7 linked regions of the Macaca fascicularis genome follow. The protein of the gene in region 1 interacts with the protein of each later gene in a biochemical or structural test. Links are inferred from orthologs where the notes say so. Each region holds a gene or a part of one and is shown in the gene's direction. Other genes may lie near its edges. The genes, in order: DLG1, TANC1, ARHGEF26, KCNA4, KCNJ4, IQSEC2 and CYSLTR2.

Region 1 (3,906 bases):
TCCCCAAGTTTTTTTCTGTTAAAGATACAACTAGACCAAAACGAGATTATGAGGTAGACGGAAGAGATTATCATTTTGTGACTTCAAGAGAGCAGATGGAAAAAGATATCCAGGAACATAAATTCATTGAAGCTGGCCAGTATAACAATCATCTATATGGAACAAGTGTTCAATCTGTGCGAGAAGTAGCAGAAAAGGTAAGCATCAGACTAGTCCCAGAATATAGCTGCTAATCAGATATGCCTTTGACAGTATGAAAGAGTGGTAGGATAGATACAGCATTAATTAGTTTTATTAACGTAATGAATTTGCTTACCTACATGATTAATTTTTGGTGGCTCAGGAAAGTGCATACAAGATAAAACAGGTAAATAAGGTAGACAAAGAAAGTGAAAATAGGAATGGTAACATGAATGTAAGAGGAGAAGTTATTTTAAGGTCATTTGCTAGAGATAGACCTTTGTTTAACCCTAACCCTCCAGCATATATTATAAGGAGATAAGGGCCAGGTATGGCAGCACACCCTTATAGTCCTAGCTACTAAGAAGGCTGAGTTGAGAGGATCACTTAAGCCTGGGAATTTGAGGCTGCAGCGAGCTATGATCATGCCACTGAACTCCAGCCTGGGCAACAGAACAAGACCCTGGCTCTTAAAAAAAAAAAAAGAAAAGAAAAGAAAAAATCAATAAATCTAACCACTTAAAATTTTTAAAAACTTTTTTTATGGCCAAAGAACTTTTCCAAAAACTATTAGAAAACACCATTAACAATGTCAAAAGACAACTGACAGAAAAAATTTGCAAGAAGAAAAGGGCTAATATTCCCAATATATAAAGAACTCATAAAAACAGGGAATAGAGACCAGAAACCCAATAGGGAAAAAAAAAATGGACAAAAGATGAGAATACATAGTTCACACAAAAATAAGATATAAAAATGGCCTTTGTACATAGGATATGATATCCAACCATTTCAAATGAATAACTACATTGAAGAGGGGAGAAGGGAGAAGTCTTAATCCCAGAGATTCTTTAACACAAGCTGAAGACAGAAAGATCTGTAAACAAAATAAAATTCTAATCAGTAGGTTTGTTGGGTGGAGTGTATGGTCTTACAGTTCTGAAACTAATATATATTCTAGGGTTGAGCAAATAAACTAATGTAATGACAGTAGTGGGAGTGAGGTTTGACTGTCAGAAAAAGGGAGAGGATAAAATGAACTCTGATAATTGGATTGGAGATATTAGATAATTAGAGCTATGAATATGAACCCATGAATTGTAATAGAGTAGATCTAGAAAGATGTGTATTTACATATACACACACGTATGCTTATTTGCTCTATCCACTAAGAAGACCTAAAAATAACCCTGAATAAGCCATGAGAATATCTGGTGCCCAGGTCTTGGCTTCTAAATATAATTCGTTAATTGAAAGATTCAGGACTCCTTAGAGAAATGGCTGATTCTGGGGCCAGGACTGGAAAAGTGCAAGATGAGCCTGTAACATTTTTGCTGCCAGAAAAACAAGGGAGCAGTCCACGAGTGATGAGGGTGTGTAAAAAGGCAAGGAACCAAGCTGTGGGGTCCCCCACTGGCCAAGTCTGAGATAATTTGAATATCAAGATAAATGATAATCACAGATTATAATATATAGAGTAAAATTAAAATCCTAGACTCCATAATGAAATAAACACAGATGGCCCCCAACTTAGAATGGTTCAGCTTTACAGAGGCGCAAAAGTGATGCATATTCAGTAGCAGCCATACTTCAAGTACCCATACGGCCTTTCTGTTTTTCACTTGTAGTACAGGACTCAATGAATTACATGAAAAATGCAACACTTAATTATAAAACAGGTATGTTGGATGATTTTGTCTGACTGTAGAGTAAGTGTTCTGAGCACATTTAAGGTAATCTAGGCTAAGCTATGATGTTTAGTAGGGTAGGTATATTAAACGCATTTTCAATTTATAGTATTTTCAACTTGGGTTTATTGGGACGTAACTCCCATCATAAGTCAAGGAGCATCTGTATATGAGTAAATAAGTGGATAGAAGGGAACACTTTGGACTGTCTACTAATCAAGGTAGAAGAAATGATTAGAAAATATTGAAAACTGCATGGTAATAATTGTTTCAGGCAAAAACCATCAGTGTATTCTAAAATTAGTGAACATTTGATGAAAAATGGGATATCTATATAGTCTCAAAGTGTCCTCCCCCAAAATACTTATCAGTTACAAAGGCAAAAGTAATAATTTTACAGTGGAGAAACCTAGCAGATAAAACCTTAAACAAGTGATCAAAATTAGCATCACTACCAGTGGGACAAATAGATATAATATCACCTCCCAGATATGATGGACTGAGAAGGACACACATTATATCTGTGGTATTCCTGCCAAAAATGTGTAACCTGCCATCCGAGAGTGAGGAAACACACAAACCCAGGTTGAGGCATATTCTATGACATAATATTTTATACTCTTCAAAAACATCAAGATCAAGAAAGACCAAGACTGAGGAATTGTGTCAGATTGATGGAGACTAAGGAGGCTTTACAGCTAACCACAGTGTGTGATCCTATGATCCTGAATTGGATCCTGGACCAGGAAATTTTTTTTTTCTTTTCCAATAAGGAACATTAGATGGCCACTTGGAATCATATTGTGATTATATAAGAGATGCCATTGTTTTTAAGAAATATGAGGTAAAGGAGCATTATGCAGTTTTTTCTCAAACTATTATGTACATACATAGAAAGAGCTAAAGCAAACATAGAATATTAATATTTCAGTATCAAGTTACTAAAATGTTTAAGCGATAATGTAAAATATTTATATCTGATAAAAGATAATGGATACATAGTGTCTGTTATTTACTTTTCTATATGTTTGGAGTATTTTACAGTATTAAATTTGTTATTTTAAGTGTGCCCACCAAATTGAAATTATCATGTATTGACTTGGACTCAAGTCCTTGGGTTAGAAGTTGCATTATGGGGCCAAGTGTGGTGGCTCACACCTATAATCCGAGCACTTTGGGAGGCCGAGGTGGGTGGATCACTTGAGGTCGCAAATTTGAGACCAGCCTGACCAACATGGTGAAACCCCATCTGTACAAAAAACACAAAAATTAGCTGGGTGTGGTGGCGCACACCTGTTATTCCAGCTACTGGGGAGGCTGAAGCAGGAGAATTACTCGAACCCAAGAAGCGGAAGTTGGAATAAGCCGAGATCGTGCCACTGCACTCAAGTCTGGGTGACAGAACAAGACTTCGTCTCAAAAACAAACAAAAAACTGAAGTTGCGTTATGGGGGAGGGCCTGATTTCAAATGCATTAGAAGCAAATCTGTCATAAATAATAACTACTACTCTGCTTACCATGGAAATGCCCATCTGTATTAAAAACCTAAGTATCCTTTGTCAGTGAGTTTAAGCCTGTCAGAAAAGTTGTCATTTAAATCCAGAATTGGGTCCCATATGCTAGTTTATGAGTTTTTGTCTGTCCCTAGTAAAATGAGAAATAGAAGGATTGAGTAGTGGTAATGAGGTTTCACACATTTGTTTATTTAAAAGGTTTGCCCTTACTCTAGGATTTTTTATCTTTTATGAAATGATAGCTATGGGGAGATGGTAGTTTGGGGTCTTTATGAATACTTTTTCTTGGCAGAATGAAAAATAGGAACCTGGGCCTGGCACAGTGGCTCATGCCTATAATCCCAGCACTTCCAGAGGCTGCGGTGAGAGGATCACTTGAGCCCCAGGAGTTCAAGACCAGCCTAGACAACAGAACAAGACCCCGTCTCTTAAATTTAAAAAAAAGAAAAGGGAGGGGGGGAGCTCTGGTTTTCACCATTTTGAGAAATTACTGATCTGTGAAAACTAGGAACTGTATTTGTTT
Region 2 (3,906 bases), on another chromosome or scaffold:
GCGTACAGATCACTCCAGTGGTCAGGAGTTCGAGACCAGCCTGGCCAACATATTGAAACCTCGTCTCTACTAAAAATACAAAAATTAGCTGGGCGTGGTGCCGGGCACCTGTAATCCCAGCTACTAGGGAAGCTGAGGCAGGAGAATCGCTTGAACCCAGGAGACGAAGGTTGCAGTGAGCCAAGATTGTGCAGCTGCACTCCAACCCAAGCAACAGAGCAAGACTTCATCTCAAAAAAATAAAAAATAAAAGTAAATAACTAAATAAATAGATTTCATGACCCACTGTTGGGTCATGGAAAAAAAAGCAAAGCTGCTTTTGTGAAACGCCGTGCAAGACTGTGGTACTGGACATCTCATGATGGTTTGCACAAGCTTACAGGATGCTCACGTGTATCCCTGCTAATTTCTGTCCAGGTGAGAGTTGGAGAGCAGCCAGCTTTCCTCTGAGTGTTGACGATAAATTTAATCTAAACCAAAAGTCTCATGGCAGCTCCAGGTTGGCCAGAGGAAAGCTGTTGCACATTTACTTTTGCCACTTGTCTTTTAAAGAGTCTGCAGACCTGGGATCTAATCCCACATCCTTGACTATCTGTGTCAGGTTGGCAAGGCATCTAACCTCAGTGTCTGGTGCCCTCAGTGATGAACTGTGGCTAGTGGTTCTTGTCCTACTTCCTGCAGGGTCTTGCCGCGTCCAGTGGGACAGCAGCAAGGCAGATACTTCCAAAAAACATGTATCTCTTGGCACAAGTGTTTTGCTCTTCTTTGCCTTCCTTACCTTGTACTTGTGTTTCTCCTATCATCCTTCTTTGGAAAAGTATTGGATTTTTCTTCTATCTACTGCATGCCTCCCATTCCCAACACTTCTGTGTCTGGCCGTTTCCTGGCGTCCCTCTCACAAGCAGCCTGCTGATGCTGCAGGTCCCTTGGAACAGAACGATTCCTTTTCCTCTCAGTACCCAGGCAGCTCCCTCTCTCCTCCAACTTGTCTCTCCACATGATGGGCAGAGAATTGGTGATTTCGGGTTTCATTCTTCAGACAGCGTCCCTATTGAACTTCTCCACAGTGTCCCTTGATGCAGTGCGGGTGTGGGGAGGGGCCAACGTCTTGACCCTCTGGACCAGGAGAAGGAGCTGCTGCGACTCTGCAGCCCCGGTCTCACAGCCTCTGGCTTTATCATCTGCCTTTTGGGATCAGCAAAAGGGTTTCCTAAAGAGGTGCTGCTGCTCTTGAGAACAGAAGCCTAGTGAAGATGGCACTTTTTGATGTTGAGAATATTAGGATGGCTTGGAGCTGCTCTAAGCCAGGGTAAATTTTACATTTTATGAATGCTGTTTGCTTATATTCAATACAAAGTAACGTGCTGATTTTTATGCTAATCAAGATGGATTTTGTGGATGCAGTTAAAGGTTCGCAAACCACACAAGGGAAGGAAGGAATAAATGGAACAATTATGCTAACAAATGACCCAGTCTTGGGCAATAGATGTTATGTATCTTGTTATCAGCGGACGAGCAGAGTTGTGTTCCTGTTTGAGATCGCAGAAGGAGCTGTGTGAAGAGGGTGAGGTGACGCTGACAGTTCTGCTTCCCCCTAGGTGGTGGCCTACCACTACTGCCAGGCTGACAACACATACACTTGCCTGGTGCCCGAGTTTGTGCACAGCATCGCAGCTTTGCTCTGCCGGTCCCATCAGCTGGCCGCCTACAGAGACCTTCTGATAAAGGAGCCCCAACTACAGAGCATGCTGAGTCTCCGATCCTGTGTGCAGGACCCGGTGGCAGCTTTCAAGAGGGGAGTGCTGGAGCCACTCACAAACCTGAGAAATGGTACCTCATAGCAGCTACCTACAGCCCCTCTCAGTAGTGGTACAGCATACACAGGTGGTCCCCAGAAGGCAGGTGGTCAGCGGGGCCCTGGGGTAGAAGTGAGCTGGAGCAGGGAGAGAATGTGGAAGCGTCAGTGCCCATCCGCTCCTCTTTCTCAGAACCAGCCCCATGAGGTCCCTCCTACACCACCCCTGTGGTATAGTGTTAAAAGGAGCACCCTGATAAGAATGAATGTGATGACTGAGCGGTTCCAAAGTAGTTTGTAACTGTGGGCTATTTAGATGACTTGCACCACGGAAGACTGTTGTGTATTTTGCACTCCTAAGTATCTGAGGGAATAAGTGGATTATTTGGAGGAATTTTCCAGAATATATATTTGTCAGGGCCTCTGCTCAGTTGAATTGAAACCTTAAAGTGACTTCTAAAGGTTTCCATTTTAATTTTTTGTCCCCAACAAGGTATCAGTGACCTGATGGTCCCTTCAGTTTCCCATCTTCTCTCCCCTCACCTCCTCACCTTTTGAGCTTGTTTATCTGCCCACATGGCCCCTCTGCTGGAAGGTGCTAGAGGGATAGAAAACAGATATGTCATCATTTCTTCTCTATTTCCTGGGCAGAAAATCAGCACTAATAAATAGGAAACCAGATTCTGGCTCGCGGAGAAGAGCCCTGTTGGAGGAGTCAGTAGTGTGGAGCTCTCACACTGTGTGGTTGTGTGGCTTGGGCCGGGCACTTTGCCCTGGGTTGGGGGCAGCGAGGATGTCAGTTTCCCTTCCCTGGAATCCACTAAGGAGCTCTCATGGGGGACCTAGTGACCTTTCTGGATTGGAAGTCTGTTATGTGTTCATTATCTTTGTGTAGCTCACCCCAGTGACAATGGTTTATGAAGAGCTAACTGTATTATATACATGAGTGAGATTCTGCTAACGTATGTCATGCAATATGTTTGTTTTGTGAGAATTGGTTTTCTTTTGGCTCTGTGCTCCAGTTTTCACTATAAATTTAATAGAAAATATGCTTCTGTGAAAACTGTTTCTTGTGCCATATGTAAACCTTTTTAGTTTCTAACATTAAACTGGGCACTAAAATACACTGGGTGTTGCTGTCTTAGAGAAATGTATAATTTCTTAATTTGAAAAAATTATTTTATCCTGTAGAGCAGAAAATTCCTGAAGAAGAATACATTATTTTGATAGATGGCTTAAATGAAGCTGAGTTTCATAAACCTGATTATGGAGATACGCTTTCTTCATTTATTACCAAAATTATTTCTAAATTTCCTGCCTGGTTGAAGTTGATTGTGACTGTAAGAGCAAATTTTCAGGTAACAAAGAATTCTCAAATCTTTCTCCAAGTCCCTATATTCCAATTTTACAGTGATAAATATTAATAACATAAAACTGTTGTAAACCATTCAGCTGCTTGAATTAGAAACTATGTTAAGAATTTGAAAAATTAGTCCAGAGAGCCCCACATGGGTGAAACTCTGACCTTTTTAGCTCAAGGCATATTTATCAAGATGTCAGGTAAGTTTCCTGTTGGCATCGAATTGCACATTTTCAAATGGTGGCATCTAGCCCTGGTTACCGTCATGGAGTGTGTGGGGCCAAGAGGCCTGCCAGAGTTTAAACCTACTCCTGCTGGTAGTTATTTGCATGGGTTTGCTGTGGGGCTTTGTGTTTTTTTGAAGGGAAAAATGAAGGTGAAAGATTTTTTTTTTTTTTTGGAGATAGAGTCTTGCTCTGTCGCCTAGGATGGAGTACAGTGGCATGATCTTGGCTCACTGCAGCATCTGCCTCCCGGGTTCAAGTGATTCTCCTGCCTCAGCCTCCCGAGTAGCTGGGATTACAGGCAGCCACCACCACGCCTGGCTAATTTTTGTATTTTTAGTAGAGATGGATTTTCACCATGTTGGCCAGGCTGGTCTCCAACTCCTGACATCAGGTGATCCACCCGCCTCAGCCTCCCAAAGTGCTGGGATTACAGGCGCGAGCCACTGTGCCCAGCTGAAGGTGAAAGATTTTTAAGGCCTATTCTCAGAAGTCTATTTTTTCGTAAAACTTAAACATGAGGTAAC
Region 3 (4,352 bases), about 55 Mb from region 1:
TGTAAGTACAGAAAAATATAAAGAAGCATGAAACATATTATCCTTCATCTCACCACCCAGAGATCACATGTTAATATTTTTGGCCATTGCATTCAATTTAGGGCAAAAACAGGCAGCGTAACTTGCACACAGTGGATGCTCACTGCATCCCTGCTGAATGCATGAATGCTGAAAGAGAACTTGGAGAAGGGCCCATATGTCTTGCTAATAGAATCAATTACACAGCTCTTATGGTCTAAAATTATTTGTCTTCTCAAGTTTGCCTGATTATTGTCACACAGCAGGAGACTGGCCAAGACACAGCCATCTTTCTACTATTTGGCAACCAAGCACTTTGGAAGAAATGGTCACTGTTTTCACTTCATTCCTGTCATTCATTCACTCATTCATTAAATAAATATTAAGTGCCTACCATGTGCCTGAAATACGGAGAAAAAAAAAAACAAAAACATGACCCCTGCCCTCATTGAAATTACCTTGTAAAGACAAAACAGACAATAAACATAAACACATAAATACATATATATAATATACAAAATTTGACAAGTGCAGAAATAGAAGAGAACAAGTGACTGGGAAAATAAACGGGGCAATGGTATAATTAAGGAGTGGACACTGCCTTTCTCATGCAGTGTCAAGTCAGGTCAAGAAGGAACGAAAGGGAAGGTTCTGAGGCTAGCAAACTTTGAGTGTGGCCAAAAAAATAATGAAGGAGAAAGTGATGATGGAAAGACTAGGCTGAAGAGTTACGGCAGTAGTGCAGTGTCTTCTTGTAAGCCATGGTAAGGATTTTGAGTTGTAGTCTATGTACTGTTAGAAACCAATACTATTTTTGTAGTGTAAATTGAGCTTATTTTTCATAGATAGATTTCAAGATTCAAAGCATACAAGGACCAAAAATAATTATATGAAAACTCTCCCTCCCTCCGGTTTCCTAGTCACCCAGTTTCCCACTTCAGAGCTGCCAGTCTTTCCTACAGAAAGACTCTAGGCACAAACAAGCACATCTATCTGTTTATAATATAATGCATGCTCAGCAGTGAAACAAGCCCATCTGATTAAGACCACCTGAATGCTGAGTGGGCATGACTCTGCGTTAGAATGCTGCGCTACTACCCACGCGTCTCACAAAGTCTACTCCGCCGCGCGTTCTGTTTCAACACACCTCCGGGATTCAGGGCTTCCTAAGCTGCAATTCAGCAGGACTCCCTTGCTTGTTCTCACGCTATGCCCCTGGCAACAACCCCGCGCGCCTACACTCCAGTGCCGCCGCAGCTACTAGTCCGCAACTTCCAGCCCAAACGCTGGAGCTCAGAACCCACCTCAGGTGCGCTCCTCTGTTTCCCAGGCAGACTGGGGCTGATTGCAGGCGCGCGGGGGCGGGAAGACGGCTTCTTGCTTCTGGCTGCAACGGAGGCGGATCTGGGCGGGGCCGAAACGGGGGCGGGGCCAAGTGTGTGGGCGTAGTCAAGCGTGGGGGCGGGGCCGGTGCCGCGGTCGGCGGCAGCGTTCTCTTAAGCTCTCGCGGCGGCGCTTCGGTCCCGGACCCGGGCCACCCACGGGGCAGTGGGTGCTCCTTGGCCCCGGACATTGCAAGTCCCAGAAGGTAAATTTGCCTGGGAGCCGCGCATCTGGAGCACGAGGGTACCCATGATGAGGGCGGGCGGCTGGATGGCAACAGAAGGGAGCGTCCCGCGGCGAGTTTCCCAAGAAAGCTGAACTCGTCCCAAGTTTCTTGTGCCTCGGCTTGCACTCAGTGAATTGGTGGCGGGCTCGTTTGGTGCGGGTGGTCTTTTGGCGTGGGAGGGACGCGGAGTTGATTGGATTAATCCATTTGGGCGGCACCCCAGATTTCTGCCTGGGACCGCGCACCGCAGTGGTGCAGTTTTTGCCCGAGAAAGGGCGGGTAAGTGCGGTGCAGTCGTGTCCTGCGCAGCAGCAGGGGGACCGCCGGACTCGGAGCACGCGAGTCGGCCAGGCGTCCCCGCCTATCCGCAGGCACAGTTTCCTAACTTCTTTCCTCTTTAGGCAAGACTGACCCGGTGTTGCTCCTACCGGGGCTGACTTCGAGGCCCGGCTATGGACGGCGAGAGCGAAGTGGATTTTTCTAGCAACAGCATAACCCCTTTGTGGCGGAGGCGGTCGATTCCTCAGCCCCAGCTGCTGGGCCGGAGCAAGCCGAGGCCCCAGTCCTACCAGAGCCCCAACGGGTTGCTAATTACAGATTTTCCGGTGGAGGACCGAGGGACGCTCCCTGCAGCGCAGACTGTCGCCCAGGTGCCCACCGACTCGGACAGCGGGACGGTACATAGGAGCCCCCTGCTTCTGGGAGCCCAGCGGAGAGCGGTGGCCAATGGTGGGACGGCATCCCCGGAGTACAGGGCTGCCTCTCCTCGACTTCGACGGCCCAAGTCACCCAAGCTCCCCAAAGCGGTGCCGGGAGGCTCCCCGAAATCCCCAGCAAATGGCCCGGTGACCTTGCCTGCGCCGCCGCCGCCGGTTCTGCGCTCTCCGCGGACTCCTAACGCGCCCGCCCCCTGCACCCCCGAAGAGGACCCGACTGGGTTGAATGCCAGCCCGGTGCCTTCGCCCACTGCAAATGGCCTTGCCGCTAATAACGATTCTCCTGGGTCGGGTTCACAGTCCAGCCAGAAGGCTAAGGAGCCCGAACGGGGGCTCTCTTCTGCGCCCCAGAAAAGTTCTTCAGAACAAAAACTTCCCCTCCAAAGGCTCCCCTCCCAGGAGAACGAGCTCCTCGAGAATCCTTCCGTGGTTTTGAGTACAAACAGCCCCGCCGCCCTCAAAGTGGGGAAGCAGCAGATCATTCCGAAGAGTCTGGCCTCGGAAATTAAAATAAGTAAATCCAACAATCAGAATGTGGAGCCCCACAAGAGACTCCTCAAGGTGCGCAGCATGGTGGAGGGCCTAGGAGGACCTCTGGGTCACGCAGGGGAGGAGAGTGAGTTCGATAACGACGTGGATAGCCCAGGGTCTCTGCGGAGAGGCTTGCGGTCCACGTCTTATCGCAGGGCAGTGGTCAGTGGCTTTGATTTTGACAGTCCTACCAGTTCGAAGAAGAAGAACAGAATGTCCCAGCCTGTTCTGAAAGCAGTGATGGAAGACAAGGAGAAGTTTTCCAGTCTGGGAAGGATAAAGGTAAAAGTGGGCAGGAGTGTGACACGCCATTCACTAAGCCAAAAGTAAATGTGTTGGGGGTGGGGAGGAGGAGCATAGAGAAAACCCGAAGAAGTCATTCCCTTTTAATTCTGTGTTTTGCTGTTGATTACTAGTGTACATCCAGCTCTTGGCCACTTTGATGCTGGCCGGCACAGCCGAGTTTAGTGCAGCTTTGTTGGAAGAAGTGAAATTCATCACCTTTAAATTTCTAAGCTCAGGCAGAATTGGGGGGACAAGAGTGAAATATGGCAGATTATTGGCTGAATGAGTCTTGACCACTTTTAAAAGAGATAGCTGAAAGGGGGAGGAGCATGCTCAGACCCGCACTCTGCAGTCAAGTTGTGTGGAGTTTGCTCAGAGGTTTCCGTCAATGGTAGCTGTTATCACAGCTGATTCAGAAAAATGCTGATTCCTGGTTGTGTGGAGTTTGCTCAGAGGTTTCCGTCAATGGTAGCTGTTATCACAGCTGATTCAGAAAAATGCTGATTCCTGTTTGAGCCTGTTGATTATTTTTTTGCTTTTACTTACTGAATTGTTTTTTGAGTGGTTACTACACACTTGATGTCATTCAGGTAGAATGTGAATTTGAAAATCAACTGCCAGGATCACAAAAGACACAAATCTTTTGTCATCTTTTTTGTTGCTTGTTTTTGTCACCATGGCCTATGGTTGTGTTTTATTCCCGTTGTATGCCCATTCATCCTTGAGTGCATTTAACAAATTGGCAGCTGAAAACTTCAGGTTAGGGTGACACTGTTGTGGTATTGCTCCCCTGTATTGTCCCATTAGCTGCACTTATTAAAATATTGCCAAATATGACATAAAGAAACAGGGAAAACTGAAGAGGGATATTTTGGAGTGTATGCTGCCTTCCGCAGAAACAAGACAGATCTCAGCAATAGGGCGGAGATTCTTTTTGGCAGCCGCATTTTTTCTTGGTTAATCAGAGCACTGGAACCAGTCTATATAAATGTCACATATGCAAAACACAAGCAAGCCTGTTTTATTTTGGAGCCCATGGTCTTAAAGAAATTACATAACATTTTATGTGTTTTTTCCAACTCTGCAAGTATAGCAAAGTTCAATTTAACAGTGATGGTGAATCACGAGTAGTAAAATGAGCTGACCTGCTAGTTATTTGAGGATTCTCAGTCTGTTTTGACAGGGTATGGGAG
Region 4 (2,888 bases), on another chromosome or scaffold:
AAAATGTAGGTTGCTGTCACGTTATTCATTACTGCTAGTGTTTATTGTCATTCATTAGGTAAAAGGCACTGTGATATTCTATCAACATCCATTATCTCATTTAGTCCTTACAAACATGAGATGGGGGAGGTTGTGTTATTATTTGTACTTTATAGATGAGGTGACTGAAGTGCATTCAAGTGGTGCTGCCTGCATAAAGAATAAGAATACTGTTGTTGTTGTTTTTTTCTTTTTTCCGACTTCCCCAATCCTGAGTCAAGATAGAGAGGAGTGGAAGGGCACTTAATTCAGAAACACTTTATGAGTGGAAATTTTAAAAATTGCCTTGAAATAGATGAATGATGGAAGCAGCTGTAAAGTCACAGCATTATTTTTGTGAAATGAAGAGAGTGACAGTGAGAATTAAGACCTGGCATTGGTGAAGGGGAAGATAGAAGCAAGAGCCATGTGAGCCATGAGTGGAGAGAGGAAAAATAATTGAGTTACCATAAAAATAAACTGAGCTGAAATAATATCTGAAGAAGAAGGAAAGAATGATGTTTAGTGAGTGAGAATAGTGTGCCCCATACTCTTGAAAATGTATGGGTGTTTGGTGTGTTATGTGACTTTCTTGAAGAAAGAGAAGGATGTGTATATGAAGAGAAATGCTCACTTTGCTCTTTATGATTTGTTTCCTTTTTACTTTTCTCCTATGCTTGTTTCCAATCCTTTTTCAGGTGAAGTGCTTCTTCTGCATGATTTTGGCTGAAGAATGCTCTGCATTTCCTTGATTTCTATGGAGACCTCAGAGCTGGTTTTGCTTCTGCTGACACCTCATCTAGCACCTTCTCTACCTCCCAGGGTCTTTGCCTCTATCTATGGTTTGGCATCGTACCTGGGTCCAGGAAGCCTTTGATGAACTTAAAAGGAGAGCCTGCAGAATCGTCCTGATAGACTTTGAGTAGAAATGGCTGGACATACTTCAAACCACATCTTATTATGGTTCGAGCCATCACTAGAAGGCAAGTGCTAACAGTAAAGGCTTATTTGCATTTTATTTAAATTTAATGGACTGAGCATTGGCCAATTTCCATGGCAGAAAAATGTATTTCATTTTCTAGGCACAACTTCTGGCTGTCAGACACTTGCTGCCTTTGAATCTTGCAGCATCATCACTAACCACATCCCAGACATATTTCCAAATCTCAACATCTACCCCCAAAACATAGGTGTCTGAGACACTCCAGCATTTTCGGACTTCTTAGTCTTGAGAGTGCTAGGCTATTTATCTCGACCAGCCAAGCTCTGGAGAGCAATGTTGAATCCCTGAGAAGAGGGAGCATGGGGCGTGCTGATTTAAAAACAGAAAATGCAAAGTTGGACTGAAAATATCCTTAGTCTTCCAAGCAATCTGCTTAAGGGTTCCAAACTTACCTTAATTTGGTGAGAAAAGAAGCTGCCCTATTTTTCTTTCTTCTTCTTCTACAACTGGAACCAGCCATTTCCGAAAACCACCACCATGGAGGTTGCAATGGTGAGTGCGGAGAGCTCAGGGTGCAACAGTCACATGCCTTATGGTTATGCTGCCCAGGCCAGGGCCCGGGAGCGGGAGAGGCTTGCTCACTCCAGGGCAGCTGCAGCAGCTGCTGTTGCAGCGGCCACAGCTGCTGTTGAAGGTAGCGGGGGTTCTGGTGGCTCCCACCACCACCACCAGTCACGTGGGGCCTGCACCTCCCATGACCCTCAGAGCAGCCGGGGTAGCCGGAGGAGGAGGCGACAGCGGCTTGAGAAGAAGAAAGTCCACCAACGGCAGAGCAGCTTCTCTCATTGCTCTGACCTGATGCCCAGTGGTTCTGAGGAGAAGATCCTGAGGGAGCTGAGTGAGGAGGAGGAAGACGAGGAGGAGGAGGAGGAGGAAGAAGAGGAGGGAAGGTTTTACTATAGTGAAGATGACCATGGGGATGAGTGTTCCTACACGGACCTGCTGCCTCAGGATGAGGGCGGTGGTGGCTACAGTTCAGTCCGCTACAGTGACTGTTGTGAACGGGTGGTGATAAATGTGTCAGGCCTACGCTTTGAGACCCAGATGAAAACTCTGGCCCAGTTTCCAGAGACTTTGTTGGGAGACCCTGAAAAGAGGACTCAGTACTTTGACCCTTTGCGCAATGAGTATTTTTTTGATAGGAACCGCCCCAGCTTTGATGCCATCTTATATTATTACCAATCAGGAGGCCGCCTGAAGAGGCCAGTCAATGTCCCCTTTGATATCTTCACTGAGGAGGTGAAGTTCTATCAGTTGGGGGAGGAGGCCCTGTTGAAGTTTCGGGAGGACGAGGGCTTTGTGAGAGAGGAGGAGGACAGGGCCCTCCCTGAGAATGAATTTAAAAAGCAGATTTGGCTCCTCTTTGAATATCCAGAGAGCTCCAGTCCTGCAAGGGGCATAGCCATTGTGTCTGTCCTGGTCATCTTAATCTCCATTGTCATCTTTTGCCTGGAAACCTTGCCTGAGTTTAGGGACGACCGGGATCTCGTCATGGCACTGAGTGCTGGTGGGCACGGTGGGTTGTTGAATGACACTTCAGCACCCCACCCAGAGAACTCAGGGCACACAATATTCAATGACCCCTTCTTCATCGTGGAAACAGTCTGTATTGTATGGTTTTCCTTTGAGTTTGTGGTTCGCTGCTTTGCTTGTCCCAGCCAAGCACTCTTCTTCAAAAACATCATGAACATCATTGACATTGTCTCCATTTTGCCTTACTTCATCACACTGGGCACTGACCTGGCCCAGCAACAGGGGGGTGGCAATGGTCAGCAGCAGCAGGCCATGTCCTTTGCCATCCTCAGAATCATTCGTCTGGTCCGAGTATTCCGGATCTTCAAACTCTCCAGGCACTCCAAAGGCCTGC
Region 5 (4,657 bases), on another chromosome or scaffold:
ATCCACCTCACTTAATCTACCCCTGGGGAATGGAGGACATTAGGGTCCTCAATTTACAGACAGATTAAATAAAAAGTTGTTCAAGGTCAAGTAGCTCCTAGGTGCTTTTGAGCCTAGGTTAGCCTGACTCCTCATCCCACTAAGCAAGAACCATACTTGTGCCCAGCCCAGGGACTGGTACGTGGTGGGTGCCTAGTGCTGGTTGAATGAATGAGTGGGTGATAAATGACTTCTGCTAGGGTCATCAGGAGGCCTTCTCAAGGAAGTGGCACTGAGGCTGGACTTGGGGAACAGCAGGAATTCTCTGGGCAAAGAAGGTGGAAGGGCATTTTAGGCAGGAGGAACAGTGTGTGCAGGCAGAGGTGTGGAGACCCGTGGCATGTTCTGGCATGTTCTGGAATCTGTGGAATCAGGGTGTACCTGTGGATTTATGGGATGTGGGATGCCAGATAAGGTGGGGCCTGACTACACCACACTGAGGAGTTGGGACTGGATCCTTTTGAGTAGGGAGAGCCCACCAGGAAGGGAAACAGTTGTGGTGATTTGCATGTTGCTCTTCTTATGCTGACATCCTCAAGGCTCAGGAGAGCCAGAGGGGATTTCAGATTTCATCAGTTCTCCACCTGGCTTTGGGGGCCTCAGTCTCTCCCTCTCTGCACTGGGGCTAGTTGGTGATGGCCAGACTCCCAGGGAAGTTCTGCTGGCTGTCTAACTGCAGGTGTTCTCTCGTCCTACCACCCTGGAAGGAGGAGCACTTTCCCTCCTGTCTCCTCGGAGGGCTAGAGTGACGTGGTAGGATGGTCAGGAAGTAGCTGGTTTGACAGGTGCTGCTGGGGGTTCCGTGACACCCCAGACTGTGGGGCCCAGGCCTGACAGCTTGGGGTAATGGAGAACGACAGAGAACAAGAGACTAGGGTTTGGCCTTGTTCTGTCATCTCTGGGTGACGTTGGCCGAGTTTCTGAGCCTCTCTGGTACCCAGTCTCGCCATCTGTAAAATGGGGCAATGGTGACTGAGTGATCGTGAGGGTCCCTCCAACAGGGCCACCTCGGACTCCCGGAGTGGGGTGCTTCGGGTCCTTAACCGGCGGTACTTCGGGAGAGTACGAGGACCGCCAAGGAGAGGGGCCGGACTCCGTGGGACCCCAGATGGACCAGCTACCACCCATCCCCTTCCCGGCTCAGAGGAACTCTCTCCACCTGCCCCCTGGGGGGGGCCCACAAAACCCGGGAGCGGATCCAGGAACGGGTTCTGGGAGGAGCGCTCCTGGGGTGAGGAGGAAAACCCGGGCAGGATCCAGGGCAGGAGCGGGGCCAGCAGCCCCCAGCCCCAGCCCCTGCTCAGCGCCGCTGGCCCCGCAGGAAGGGGCCTGAGGCCGGGTTAGGCCGAGGGGCGGGCAGGGCGGGTCCCCGCGGGCCGCCGGGGCTCCCAGGATGGGGGACGCGCGGCCTCCGCAGTGGGGCGCGGGTCACGTGTGAGGAGGGGCGAAAGTCTCGCAAAGCGGGGCGGCGTGCCGCGAGTTGGGAGTTCTCGGCGCGCCGCGGGCGGCGGGAGCTCGGGCTCCCGGGCGAGCCGGGGACGCGGCCGAGGCGGGGGCCGGGGTCCGAGACAGAGGGGGCCGCACGGAGAGTGGGAGGGGGAGAGACAGAGAAGGACAGAGGCCGCGAGGGAGACGGACAGAGACTCGCAGGGGAGAGAGGCAGCGCGGGCAGAGGGAGGCGGGAGGAGGCCAGGGGGCGACCGCGACGGAGACGGAGACCCCGCGGGCAGAGGGCGAGCGGGGCCGCAGGAGGCAGGGAGGCCGGGAGAGGGACGGGGACGCGAGGGCGGCGGAGACCCCGGCGGCGGGAGAGAGACGCAAGAGCGGTCGGGGAGGTGGCGGCAGAGCCCGGCCGGCGGGGGCGGGGAGGGCGACCCCAGGCCGGGAGGCCGAGGGGTCGCGGGGCCGGGGCCGAGCGCAGCGGGGCCGGGAGCGGAGCGCAGGGCCGGGGCCAGAGCGCGCGACCAGGAGCGGGTAACAGCGAGGGAGCGGCGCGCAGCGGGGGGCGGCGGCGGGGAGGGCGCCTGCGGCGGGGGTGGGGGGCGCGGGCGGTGGGGCGCCCCGGGCCCCCGGACCCCCGCGCTCTGAGCCCGGCCGAGCCCGACGATGCTGACGCCGAGGCGGCGCCTAGGGCGCGGCGCGGGGCAGCGCTGAAAGTTGGGCGGCCCGCGGGGAGCGGCGCGGGACGGCCGGGACGCGCGGAGACCCCAAGACCCACGCGCAGACCGAGCGGCAGCCGGGGAGGGGGGCGCGGGCCGGCCGGCCGAGTTCGGAGGCAGGAGGCACCGGGACTCCCCTCTCCGCGCCCGGGACGCCGCCCGCCGGATCCCGCCGTGGGATGTAGCGCCCGCTCGCCGCCTCCCGGACTCTCGTCGGACCCTCCGCCCAGCGGTAAGCCGCGCTCGCCCACCCCGGGCGCTGTCCGTCAGTCTGTCCGTCAGTCTGTCCCGCCGCGTGCGTGTCTGTGTGTCCCGGGCCCGCCGCTCCGGCCCCTCCCGCTCCGCACCTGATCCGGAGCTGGGTCCCGGCTGCCCGGCGCCGCGCGCGCGGTCCCGTGACTCCCCGGGAGCGGGCGGGCTCTGTCCGTCTGGGAGCGTCGCGGTCTGGGTTGTGTACTGGAAAGGGGGAGAGAGGTGGGTGGAAGGGGTCTTGACCTCCTGCCCCGGCCATGACCTTTCCCTGCCTCCACCCACCCCAGTTGTCATGCCGGGGAGCTTCAAGGCAGGTGACTTGTGGCAAGGTGGGGGATGGCGCCTTTCCGCCTCCCCAGCTGCAGCCTCGTTGCAAATGGCCCTGTGATCTGAAGAACGAAATCCCACTTCTCATGTTTTGAGCGCCTGCTTTGCGCCACACGACCCCAGGGCGCAGGGGCAGGGATCGGTAGAGGAGGCACTGCACATTCATAGTGATAGAAACTGCGGCTGCGGAGGGAGGCAGAGGCTGCTTTTTCCTCCGAGTGTAGGGAGCACCCCAAGGCAAGAGAGGTCTCAATGAGCCTCCCGCAGGGAGAACTTCCCCTGCAACCGACCAAATATACCCCCACCAGTGTCAGCCTCCCTGCCCCCTACCCACACTTCTGCCCCCAGTGTCCCCGCTTCAGGATGGAGAGGATGCAGGGAGTTGAGAGGTGGCAAGCTGGGTGGGGTGGAGCAGAGGGTATTAGAGGCAGGGCAGCCTTGCCAGCTGACAGAGCAGGGCCTCAAGAGCAGTAGAATGTTCAGCAGCAGGTTTGGGGGAAGTGGGGAACTCAGGGAGGGAGGCCCAGAGAAGGGTTGGAGCTGTGTGTGTGTGTGTGTGTGTGTGTGTGTGTGTGTGTGTGTGTGTGTGTGTGTTCGTTCTCCCCCACATCGAGTCCCATGACCTCCATGGCTTCAGGCCTTTTGGGGGCAGTTAGCAGGACTTTAGGGGCCCAAGAGCATTGCTGTCGCTCTGGCTTGGCCTGTGATGAGGGGAGCAAAAGGTGGAACAGGGCAGCTGGGGTAAGAGATGGGTGCAGCATGGTGGGAACAGAGACTGTTGGCCACTGAGCTGACCCATATCCCAGCTGGAGTTGGAAGGGCTGAGCCTAGAACATTCCACTCCATTCTCATTGGGAGGAGGGACTCTTTCTGGGGTTTTCCACACTGGGCAGTGGGTCTTATATGTCTTCCATTCAGGCTCCCAGAAATTGGCTCAGCTGGCTGGGAGAGCAGCCCTCTGGGCTGGTCACTCTCCTCCCAACTGTCAGCTTCCATGTCTGTGGCATGGGGACATCACTCCCTCCCCCAGTGACCTCCAAGGCAGGCCCTGGGCTCAATGAGCAGAGGGCTGTTCACAGACTGGGGAAAGCGCTGGGGAGATGGGAGTAAAGACTTACTTTACCTTAAAAGACAGATGAACAGCTAGTGGGTGGAGGTGGACATGGGGCAGTGGGAATATGGTGGAAATAGAGAGCTGACCAAGGAGGAGTGTCCAGGATTAGAGTGGGAATCTGGGGTACTATTCCTCATGGCCCTTTGGGTCATCCTTGAAAAGAAAGCTCTTCTCTCAGAAAATCCTCTGGAGTGGCTGTGACCAGGCAGAGCTGGTTGAGTTTCTGCTGGGTGACCTTGGGTGGGTGGCTTGACCTCTCTGAACCTCAGTTTCTTCAACTGGAGAACAGGGATGATGATACTGACTTCATCAGGGTGTTGAGCACTTTCCAGACTGTGTCAGGTCTGTGAAAGCCGCGTGCGCCAGCCTGGAGCATAGTAGGTTCGTAGACATTTGCGAAAGAGAGAATGAAGTAGCTCTGGGAGATGCTGTGAGAAGATGTCTTAGCTTAGGATAAGAAGGAAGGGGAGGAGGAACAGTGTAGGCTTACAGGGCGGGCTGCTTCTTAATGTGGATCTGGGGGAGGCGGGGGCGAGTGCTAAGGGGGGTGTGAGGAGGAGGGGGCCCCTCTGCGGGGACCACTGAGTCACGAGGACATGTAAGCGACATGACAACCAGCAACATGGTAACCAGGAAACTAGCGGCGGTGGGAAACAGAGCTGGAGCAGTGTGGGGTGGGGGTGGCGGGTAGGCCTGGTAGCGCTGGGCTCAAGGGGTCCCGGGAGCAGCCAGGCTGGTCCCTCAGAGTGAGGAGGGGAGGCCCCAG
Region 6 (3,906 bases), on another chromosome or scaffold:
AGGAGACTGAGATTGGTCCTTGTCCTCAAGGATCCCAGTGCAGTAGGAAATGGCAGACATGTGTGCATTACTGTCTCCTGAAGTAGAGTGTGCTCTGAGCCATGAGAAAGGCTATATAGTACAATGTATGGTACCTTGGGAACCCAGAGGAAGGGGAGGAAACTTTCTTCTGGGAGAACCACAGAAAACCCACTTGAGAAAACAGCATTGGAGATGGGCCTTGCCAGACAGAAAAGATTTAGCAAGTTAGAAATACTTGGAAGGGTGTTGCTTACATAGGCGTTGCATCAGCAAAAGCTTGGAGGGGTGGGATTGTAACGCAGTAAAGGTAGTGGGAGATCGTTCTAGGGTTGGGGTGTGTCAACATACTTGCCCAGGTGTGAATCCCAGTTCTGCCATTTCCCAACTGTGTGGCCTTGGCAAACTGCAAACTGTTTAACCACACTGAAACATGATCAATAAAATGGAGAGAAAATAAAATGGAGAGAAAACCCTTTTAGAGCTATTTGGAAGACTCAGTGCAACTGTACAGGTAATATATATGAAAACGCCTAGTACATAGTAGCTGCTAAGTACATGTTAGTTTTCTTCCTAAAACCAAGAAGGTACTTGGTAGAGATTGTTGAATGAATGGATGAAGCTTTATAAGCGAAAAAGTCACTCTGCTCTAACCTCTATGATCTGGCCTTGCCATCAGCCTGGGCATGCCTCCTTGGACCTGGTGAAGAGGTGGAGGGAAGGACAGGAATATTGAAGGGAAGATCTATATCATTTATCTGTTCATTCATACCACAAAGATTTAATTGAACATCTCTTCTGTGTCAAGCAATGTGTTGAGCTGAGCTAGAAAGAGAAACCAGGCCTGGATCCATCCCTCAAGGGAGGAATGGGGAATAGGAGATCAGTCTGGGAACCAGGTCTGATCCCAGCTCTGAGTGCTATTGAAGTCTGATGGGGAAGTATATCCGTTATCTGTTAGCTGTGTAACAAATTACCCCCAAATTTGGTAGCTTAAAACTGACCCAAGAGACTGAGCCTAAACCATAAACATTTATTATCTCATACAGTTTCTGGGGGCCAGGAAGCTGGGAATGGCATGGCTGAGTGGTTTTGGTTCAGGGCCTTTCATGAGGTTGCAGTCAAGCTGTAGGGAGAGCCTGCAATATCTGAAGACTAGACTGGGGCTGGCAGTCTGCTTTCAAGCTCACTCACTTGGCTGTTGGCAGGAGGATTCAATGCCTCACCCTGTGGGCCTCTCTATAGGACTGTTCGTGATGGGCTTTCCCCAGGTTGGGGGGTCTGAGAGAAAGAGTCCAAGTGACAAGCGACCAAGAGTGCTCAAGATGGAAGCTGCAGTCATTTAAATTTTTTTTTTAATTTTGTAAATTAAAAAAAATTTTTTTGCAGTCTTTTTTTTTTAAATTAAAAAAATTTTTTTTTGGCCGGGCATAGTAGCTCACACCTGTAATCTCAGCACTTCGGGAGGCCAAGGCAGGCGGATCGCCTGAGGTCAGGGGTTTGAGACCAGCCTGTCCATCATGGCGAAACCCCGTCTCTACTAAAAATATAAAAATTAGCCAAACATGGTGGTGCGCGCCTGTAATCCCTGCTACTGGGGAGGCTGAGGGAGGAAAATCGCTTGAACCTGGGAGTTGGAGGTTGCAGTGAGCTGAGATCGTGCCACTGCACTCCACCCTGGGCAAGAGCGAGACTCTGTCTCAAAAAAACAAATAAAAATTTTAGAGACAGGATCTTGCTGTGTTGCCAGGCTGGAGTGCAGTGGCGTGATCGTAACTCACTGCAGTCTCAAACTCCTGGGCTCAAGTGATCCTCCTGCCTCACTCTCCTGAGTAACTGGGACTACAGGTGTGTACCACCACACCCAGCTAATGTTTTTATTTTTTGTAGAGGTAGAGTCTCGCCATGTTGCCCAGGCTTTTCTTGAACTCCTGGGCTCAAGGGATCCTCCCATCTTGGCCTCCCAAAGTGCTGGGATTACAGGCATGAGCCACCATGCCCAGCCTCTGCAGTCTTTTAAAACCTAATTTCAGAAGTGACATACATTCACTTCTGCCATATGCTGTTTGTCACACAGACTAACTCTGGTACAATGTGGTACCCTAGGGTGTGAATACCAGGAGGCAGGGATCATGAGCGGTCAGTTTAGAGTCTGGATACCACAGGGAAAGAGCATTACCAGCTGTGGTCCAGACGCTCAAGGTCAAATGTTATGGATTTCCTAAGAGAATTCCCACAGAGGAAGCTGGGATTTTGGTTTACCCTCGGGGATGGCAGAGGCAAGAATGTGGCTTGAATCAGGGAGGAGGTAACATTTGGCTTGAGTCTAAATGGACACAAAGGAGGTATTGGGGTATGAGCTGAGTGGGGGAACTCGTGGGCATTAGTCCCAGCTCCTGTGAGCTCACAATGGTTCCCTGGGAGTCATTTTATAGACCACAGGGAGTTTGTCAGGGCTGGGGGAGGGGAATCCACCCTCCTTGCTGACCTACCAGGAAGACTCCCCCTTTTCCCTTACCCCCCTCCCTCATTCCCACCTTCCACCATTCTTCCCTTTATCTTTCTTTCTTTTCTCTCCCTTTCCCTCCTCTCCTCCCCCGCCTGCACAGGTAAAGTCTCTGGCTGAATCCATCGACGAAGCCCTGAACTGCCACCCGTCAGGGCCCATGTCTGAGGAGCCAGGTTCAGCCCAGCTGGAGAAGCGGGAGTCAAAGGAACAGCAAGAGGACAGCTCGGCCACATCCTTCAGTGACCTTCCCCTCTACCTGGATGACACAGTTCCCCAACAATCCCCTGAGCGACTGCCCAGCACAGAACCCCCACCCCAGGGCCGGCCCGAGTTCTGGGCGCCAGCCCCTCTCCCGCCAGTTCCTCCACCAGTGCCATCAGGAACCCGGGAAGACGGTAGCCGTGAGGAAGGCACTCGCAGGGGTCCCGGGTGCTTGGAGTGCCGGGATTTCCGGCTGCGGGCCGCCCACCTTCCCCTGCTTACCATTGAGCCTCCTAGTGACAGCTCCGTGGACCTGAGTGACCGCTCAGATCGCGGCTCTGTCCACCGCCAGCTGGTGTATGAGGCTGATGGCTGCAGCCCCCATGGGACCCTGAAGCACAAGGGGCCACCAGGCAGGGCCCCGATCCCACACCGCCACTACCCAGCCCCTGAGGGCCCAGCCCCAGCCCCACCAGGGCCCCTGCCACCAGCCCCCAACAGTGGCACTGGGCCCAGTGGTGTGGCTGGGGGTCGGAGGTTGGGGAAGTGCGAGGCAGCAGGCGAGAACTCTGATGGTGGAGATAATGAGAGCCTCGAGAGCTCCAGCAATTCCAATGAGACCATCAACTGCAGCTCCGGCTCCTCTTCTCGGGACAGTCTAAGGGAGCCTCCGGCCACCGGCCTGTGCAAGCAGACTTACCAGCGGGAGACAAGGCACAGCTGGGACTCGCCAGCTTTCAACAATGATGTGGTCCAGAGGCGGCACTACCGAATCGGCCTCAACCTTTTCAACAAGTGCGTGCTGCCCGTTCTAGCCTGCTCGCCCTTTCCTACCCTGCCACGGGTACTTGGGTTCCTGGGACAGAACTCCACGCAGTGATCCCGGTTCTGCCATCCTTTCATTTTGTGGAACGGTATTTCTCCCCAGACATTCAGGGAAGAGGATTGGCAACAGGGTGAAAGAGTAGAGAGTCCCTTAACACACCTGGGCAGTCCTAGTACTGCCTCTGGCTGACTGTGCGATCTTGGGTGAGATGACCCCACTAAATGGATTCTGAAACTTGTCCTCCCCACCTTCCCTTTTTAGAGGGGAGGTGATATGGTGTAGAAAGAGCCCTAGCCTGGGAAACAGGAGATCTGGCCCCCGAGTGGGCCTTTGGCCAGACTCGCTGCATAGC
Region 7 (4,631 bases), on another chromosome or scaffold:
GTCCACTGATCAACTTTTGTGTCCATTAATCAACCTCTGTCTATCTCTCCCTGCCTCCTCCCCTTCCCAGCCTCTAGTAACCACTATTCTACTCTCTACTTCTATCAGGTCAACTTTTTTAGCTTCCACATATGAGAACATGCAGTATTTATCTTACTATGCCTGGCTTACTTCACTTAACATAATGTCTTCCAAGCTCATCCATGTTGCCACAAATGACAAAATTTTGTTCTTTTTAAATCAATAAATAGTATTCAATTGTGAATATATACATTTTTCATCCATCTTTCTGTTGATGAACATTTAGGGTGATCCATATTTTGGCTATTGTGAATAGTGCTACAGTAAACATGAGAGTGCAGAGATCTCAACAAGATTCAGTAACCCTACTACTGAGTATATATCCAAAGTATTTTATTCGTTTTGATGCTATTCTAAATGGAATCGTTTCCTTAGTTTCCTTTTTTGGTTGTTTATTGTTAGTATATATAAATGCAACTGATTTTTGTGTATTGATTTCCTATCCTGCAACTTTGCTGAATTTGCTTATTAGTTCTATTGGGGTTTTGTGTGTGTGTGTGTGTGTGTGTGTGTGTGTGTGTGTGTGTGTGTATGGAATCTTCAGGTTTTCCTACGTATAAAATTTTATCATTTGCAGACAGATATAATTTTACTTATTTATTTCCAATTTGGATCCCTTTTATGTATTTTTCTTGCTTAATGTTACTGCAGCTTTCTATCCAGGAAATGAGGATTTGAACAGTGATGGGGAGGTCAGCAATGGTTGGAGTTGGGACATATTTTATGGGCAGAACAAATGGAACTTGTTGGCTCAGAAGTGGGTGGTGGAAGAAAGAGAGAAGTTAAAAGTGACTTCTAGGTTTATGGATGGGCTAAATTATTGTGGTGCCACTGTTTAGACAGGGTAGATGGGGGGATGCAGGACTAAGAGGGGAAGAGAAAAGGTCCATCTGGGTCACATTAAATTTGGCCATGATTGTGCATCAGATAGATAAAAGCAAGAGAAGGAGGGAAGAAGTCAGAACACAGACCTCTGGGGAAAGCTCACATGTAGAAAAGGGATGGAAGAAGAGGCATCAGAAAGAGAGGCAAAGAAGAGCAATCTGAGGGGGAGAAAAAGAACCAGGAAAGTCAGAGAAACAAGGAAGAAGTTTCAGGAAAGTGGTAGTGGTCAACTATGCAAACAAGACGGGAAGGAAGGTGAGGACTGAGAAAGGATTTTTTATGTGAGCAACAAGGTTATTGGTAACCTCTGACAGAACATTTTCAGCAGAGTGGATAAGGTCTCTGCTGGAGTGCAAGTGAATTGAAAATATAAGTGAGTGAGGGAAGTGCTTTAAACAAATCTAAAGTGCTGTGTGTGTAAGGCAGTGTTGCTATTTCTGTTGCCATGGAAACAGAAACCTTTCAGGAGAACTAAAAGCCACTTAAAATCCCTGACTCTAACCCATTATATCCGCTTGTTCTCTTGAGAAAGATAATGACAAAAACCAGTCATTAGAGGGGCAGGGCAATTTTAGGTTTCTTCTTTTTAGATGTAGCCCTTAACTGGAAATCTTCCCCCTTCTTGAGAAGAGATCTTGCACTGACATCTATACTGGCTTCTAAAAAGCACAGATGACCTGCTACACTTCCTGACTTTCTTGCTATTGGTTGGCACTGTTCATAAATATAATTTGCTGTTTCCCTTTTCTTTTAAATGAGCAATCCGAATTACTTGGAGGAGAAAGGCAGAAGAGATAGAGGCAGCAGAAGCCAGGGCAGCTGAAAGACAGAGAACTTCAGGTGGGCATTTTAATCTTTGTTTTGTTAATTCAGTGTTGAGAATCATGACTTGAAGATCACGTAATAGAGGAGTAATTTTTGAAAAGTAAATTTGTTTTGTTCTACTATAAATATTATTTTCCTATCATGTACATGGTAGTTTAAAAAATACTGTGAAAGTACAAAAATGTTAAAGGAAGCCAAATTCTCCACCAAGATAGCCTCTATTGATATTTTGGGGGTTTTCCGTGTGTGTGTGTGTGTGTATGTGTGTGTGTGTGTGCGTGTTTGTGAATGTGTATATGCACATATAACTTTAGTTTTCATAGTTGCGTCCCTGCACTATGGACACGTTTATATTCATTTCCTGCATTTCAGTCTATGGTTTTTCCATGTTGCTGTGAATTCTTTGTAATCATAAATTAAAGCTGCTGCATAATATTGCATTGAGGAACTTTACTTCCTCCATTTTTAGCTGTATAGCAGTTATCCTATTTTTCATAGTTTGGGTCCTTTTATTATATAAGATATATTTTTTTCATTCAGGGTCTTGTTTTAGAGGTAGAAGAAGTTGAATCTGAGCACATATGTTTCAATGGTTTTGCTTAGAGGCACAATGAGAGTGAAAGAGTATGTGAGATCATGAGCATATAATCTGTTCCTTACCCCACTGGGACCCTAACCAGTGTTTCTCAACTCTGGCTGCACATCAAGTCAGAATCACCTGACTCTGAGGAGATTAGAAAATTACCCCTAGAATAATTGAAGCTTAACTTTTAGAGATCAGCAAGTCATCTGCAGTATTTTGTCTTGTTTTCCAGAAACTTCTCAGGTGATTCTAATAGGTGGTCGGCATAAAAACAGATGACCTACGTCATTCAAAATATTTTTCTGTCTCTGACATATACCTGAGAGTAATATGTATTAGGAGAAAGGGAGGTATAATTTCAGGCAATCCAATCAAATCTCCCTTTCAACACTACATACATAATGCAAATTACAGAATAATTTGGGGGGAAACATAAGACTTCTAGAAATTTCTATCTACCTCAGCCACATAAACTCTTGAGATGAGAATCTACTTGTGTTTCGATTTACTAATGTTTTAAAGAGGTGGATTTGTTTCCAGTGCTTCGATGGTTAAAAGTTAGAGAAGTTGAGGCTGTCGTATGTTCTGAATGTACCTGAATCACGCCCATATCTGCTAGAATCTGCCAAGGCAGCCAGGCTTCCTTTCTTTTGCAATCTTCAAGATTAAACACAAGGTGGGCATTTAATAGCTGGCCAGTCACTAACACACTGTGGGCACAGTGAAGATCGATGGCATTGGATTTGGAGGCAGAAGGTGGCTCACTCTGGCTTTCAGGAGCCCCATAGACATGGCACTTACCTTCTCTGGACCTCATGTCCTCAGGAGGAAAGTGGACAGAGTTTATGCCAGGGCTGCGTTCTGGTTTCTCCCATTGGGGACTGAAAACAGAGCCAGAGCCCCTAAACCACATTGAAGCATTTGCTGTTGCACTCCTAGCCTGCTGCAGGCCAGGAATCATCCCAACGAGACCAACAGCATGTTAATCAAATTTCTTCTTGTTTTGACTCAGTGGAGAACACCTGTTTAGTACCTTCATTAATGAATGTAAACATTCACATAGTACTTTACAAAACACGTTTACATGCATCAGTTCATTTGATCCACATACTAGCCTTAAGAACTGGAGTAATTCTTATTTTAAAGATGGTAAAGATGAGACCGAGAGAACATAGGATCTTTTCCAGGTGGAACCAGAACTGGTCCAATCTGGTTTAGCCCAGGGCACATGGTCCATTCTTACAACTTAAATAATAGCTATTGTGGGAAATTGGTTAAACATATTTCATAATGTTTATATAATTGGTTATTCTGTAGCCAGTTAGATGATGACATTGATGTTGTTATTTGGCAAAGAAAGGTGATCATGGCATGGAAATAAGAAAAAAGCAAGATATAAAACAGTATTATAAATGCGCTTATTTTTGTTTAAAAATATTTTCATATATTTCAAGAAAGATGAAAAAAAGCATATATGTGAAATTTTAGATATGTCTGGTTGGTGGTAAAGTTCATAATTTAAGTTTATTTCAGCTTGTATTACATTGTAATTTTTCTTTACCATGAACATGTACTACTTGTGTAATAAAAATAAAGGAAAGTAAATAGAATTGTTCATGTCTTTCTGGTTGGCTCTTCTCCGGATGAAATGGCCCCATCTTTTACTTGGCCGTAAAGAAGGCTGCTATTTAATTCTCTGAGTTTTGTACGTTATTGTCACAAATTTTATTGTGATTGTCAGCTAGTACTGACTGAATTCTTTGTGTGTGTTGGGCACCAAGTTAATCACTTCACATCCATTTTTTTTTTCATCAGTACTCACTCCAGTGCTCCTTTGGCAGAGGAGAGTTTGAAGCTCAGAGGGCTGCAGTAATAAAAGAGACTAAAAGGCAGAGTTGAAACTTAAACCCAGGACCCTTTTAACTCAAAAGCACATGGTTTCATTCATTATATCACTCTGCCTCCCATCCACCTGGGATCACATGAGCAGCCTCCGTTTTGGAGGAAAGATGATATATTTTTTCAGTGTACTACTCATTGCTGTGTACATGAATACATGATGGTTACTTTGGGCATCATTAAGATTTCCTGTGTACTCCAGAATCAAGGATCCTTTCTGCTTTTCTATAGTTTGCTCTATGCACCAGATATCTGAGGCACTCTAGTTCCCCAAGGGTAAGGCTTTAAGATAAAAGCCTCACAAGGGATTGTGCAATTACCCAATGAACTCTGGCTAATGCGGCAGCCAAACTGGATA

The links.
Region 2: the proteins of DLG1 (region 1) and TANC1 interact in a test that uses a peptide from one of them, tested with the Homo sapiens proteins (2 studies listed by IntAct, with this or other methods). The link is inferred for Macaca fascicularis from reciprocal best matches to the Homo sapiens genes DLG1 and TANC1.
Region 3: the proteins of DLG1 (region 1) and ARHGEF26 interact in a test that uses a peptide from one of them, tested with the Homo sapiens proteins (2 studies listed by BioGRID and IntAct, with this or other methods). The link is inferred for Macaca fascicularis from reciprocal best matches to the Homo sapiens genes DLG1 and ARHGEF26.
Region 4: the proteins of DLG1 (region 1) and KCNA4 interact in a biophysical measurement, tested with the Homo sapiens proteins (2 studies listed by IntAct, with this or other methods). The link is inferred for Macaca fascicularis from reciprocal best matches to the Homo sapiens genes DLG1 and KCNA4.
Region 5: the proteins of DLG1 (region 1) and KCNJ4 form a complex in vitro, tested with the Homo sapiens proteins (2 studies listed by BioGRID and IntAct, with this or other methods). The link is inferred for Macaca fascicularis from reciprocal best matches to the Homo sapiens genes DLG1 and KCNJ4.
Region 6: the proteins of DLG1 (region 1) and IQSEC2 interact in a test that uses a peptide from one of them, tested with the Homo sapiens proteins (2 studies listed by IntAct, with this or other methods). The link is inferred for Macaca fascicularis from reciprocal best matches to the Homo sapiens genes DLG1 and IQSEC2.
Region 7: the proteins of DLG1 (region 1) and CYSLTR2 interact in a test that uses a peptide from one of them, tested with the Homo sapiens proteins (2 studies listed by IntAct, with this or other methods). The link is inferred for Macaca fascicularis from reciprocal best matches to the Homo sapiens genes DLG1 and CYSLTR2.

The regions. Positions count from the first base shown.
Region 1 is NC_088376.1:2,497,186-2,501,091, reverse strand, and holds part of DLG1 (disks large homolog 1), read left to right. Parts: intron 1-24; coding exon 25-197; intron 198-3,906. UniProt on the Homo sapiens protein: Essential multidomain scaffolding protein required for normal development. Recruits channels, receptors and signaling molecules to discrete plasma membrane domains in polarized cells.
Region 2 is NC_088386.1:54,606,324-54,610,229, forward strand, and holds part of TANC1 (protein TANC1), read left to right. Parts: intron 1-1,598; coding exon 1,599-1,830; intron 1,831-2,986; coding exon 2,987-3,153; intron 3,154-3,906. UniProt on the Homo sapiens protein: May be a scaffold component in the postsynaptic density.
Region 3 is NC_088376.1:57,077,476-57,081,827, forward strand, and holds the start of ARHGEF26 (rho guanine nucleotide exchange factor 26), read left to right. Parts: upstream 1-1,524; 5' UTR 1,525-1,606; intron 1,607-2,028; 5' UTR 2,029-2,079; coding exon 2,080-3,156; intron 3,157-4,352. UniProt on the Homo sapiens protein: Activates RhoG GTPase by promoting the exchange of GDP by GTP. Required for the formation of membrane ruffles during macropinocytosis. Required for the formation of cup-like structures during trans-endothelial migration of leukocytes.
Region 4 is NC_088388.1:35,544,515-35,547,402, forward strand, and holds part of KCNA4 (potassium voltage-gated channel subfamily A member 4), read left to right. Parts: intron 1-716; 5' UTR 717-1,498; coding exon 1,499-2,888. UniProt on the Homo sapiens protein: Voltage-gated potassium channel that mediates transmembrane potassium transport in excitable membranes. Forms tetrameric potassium-selective channels through which potassium ions pass in accordance with their electrochemical gradient.
Region 5 is NC_088384.1:13,196,186-13,200,842, forward strand, and holds the start of KCNJ4 (inward rectifier potassium channel 4), read left to right. Parts: upstream 1-1,516; 5' UTR 1,517-2,430; intron 2,431-4,657. UniProt on the Homo sapiens protein: Inward rectifier potassium channels are characterized by a greater tendency to allow potassium to flow into the cell rather than out of it.
Region 6 is NC_088395.1:53,237,338-53,241,243, reverse strand, and holds part of IQSEC2 (IQ motif and SEC7 domain-containing protein 2), read left to right. Parts: intron 1-2,627; coding exon 2,628-3,523; intron 3,524-3,906. UniProt on the Homo sapiens protein: Is a guanine nucleotide exchange factor for the ARF GTP-binding proteins.
Region 7 is NC_088391.1:27,792,665-27,797,295, forward strand, and holds the start of CYSLTR2 (cysteinyl leukotriene receptor 2), read left to right. Parts: upstream 1-1,718; 5' UTR 1,719-1,806; intron 1,807-4,631. UniProt on the Homo sapiens protein: Receptor for cysteinyl leukotrienes. The response is mediated via a G-protein that activates a phosphatidylinositol-calcium second messenger system.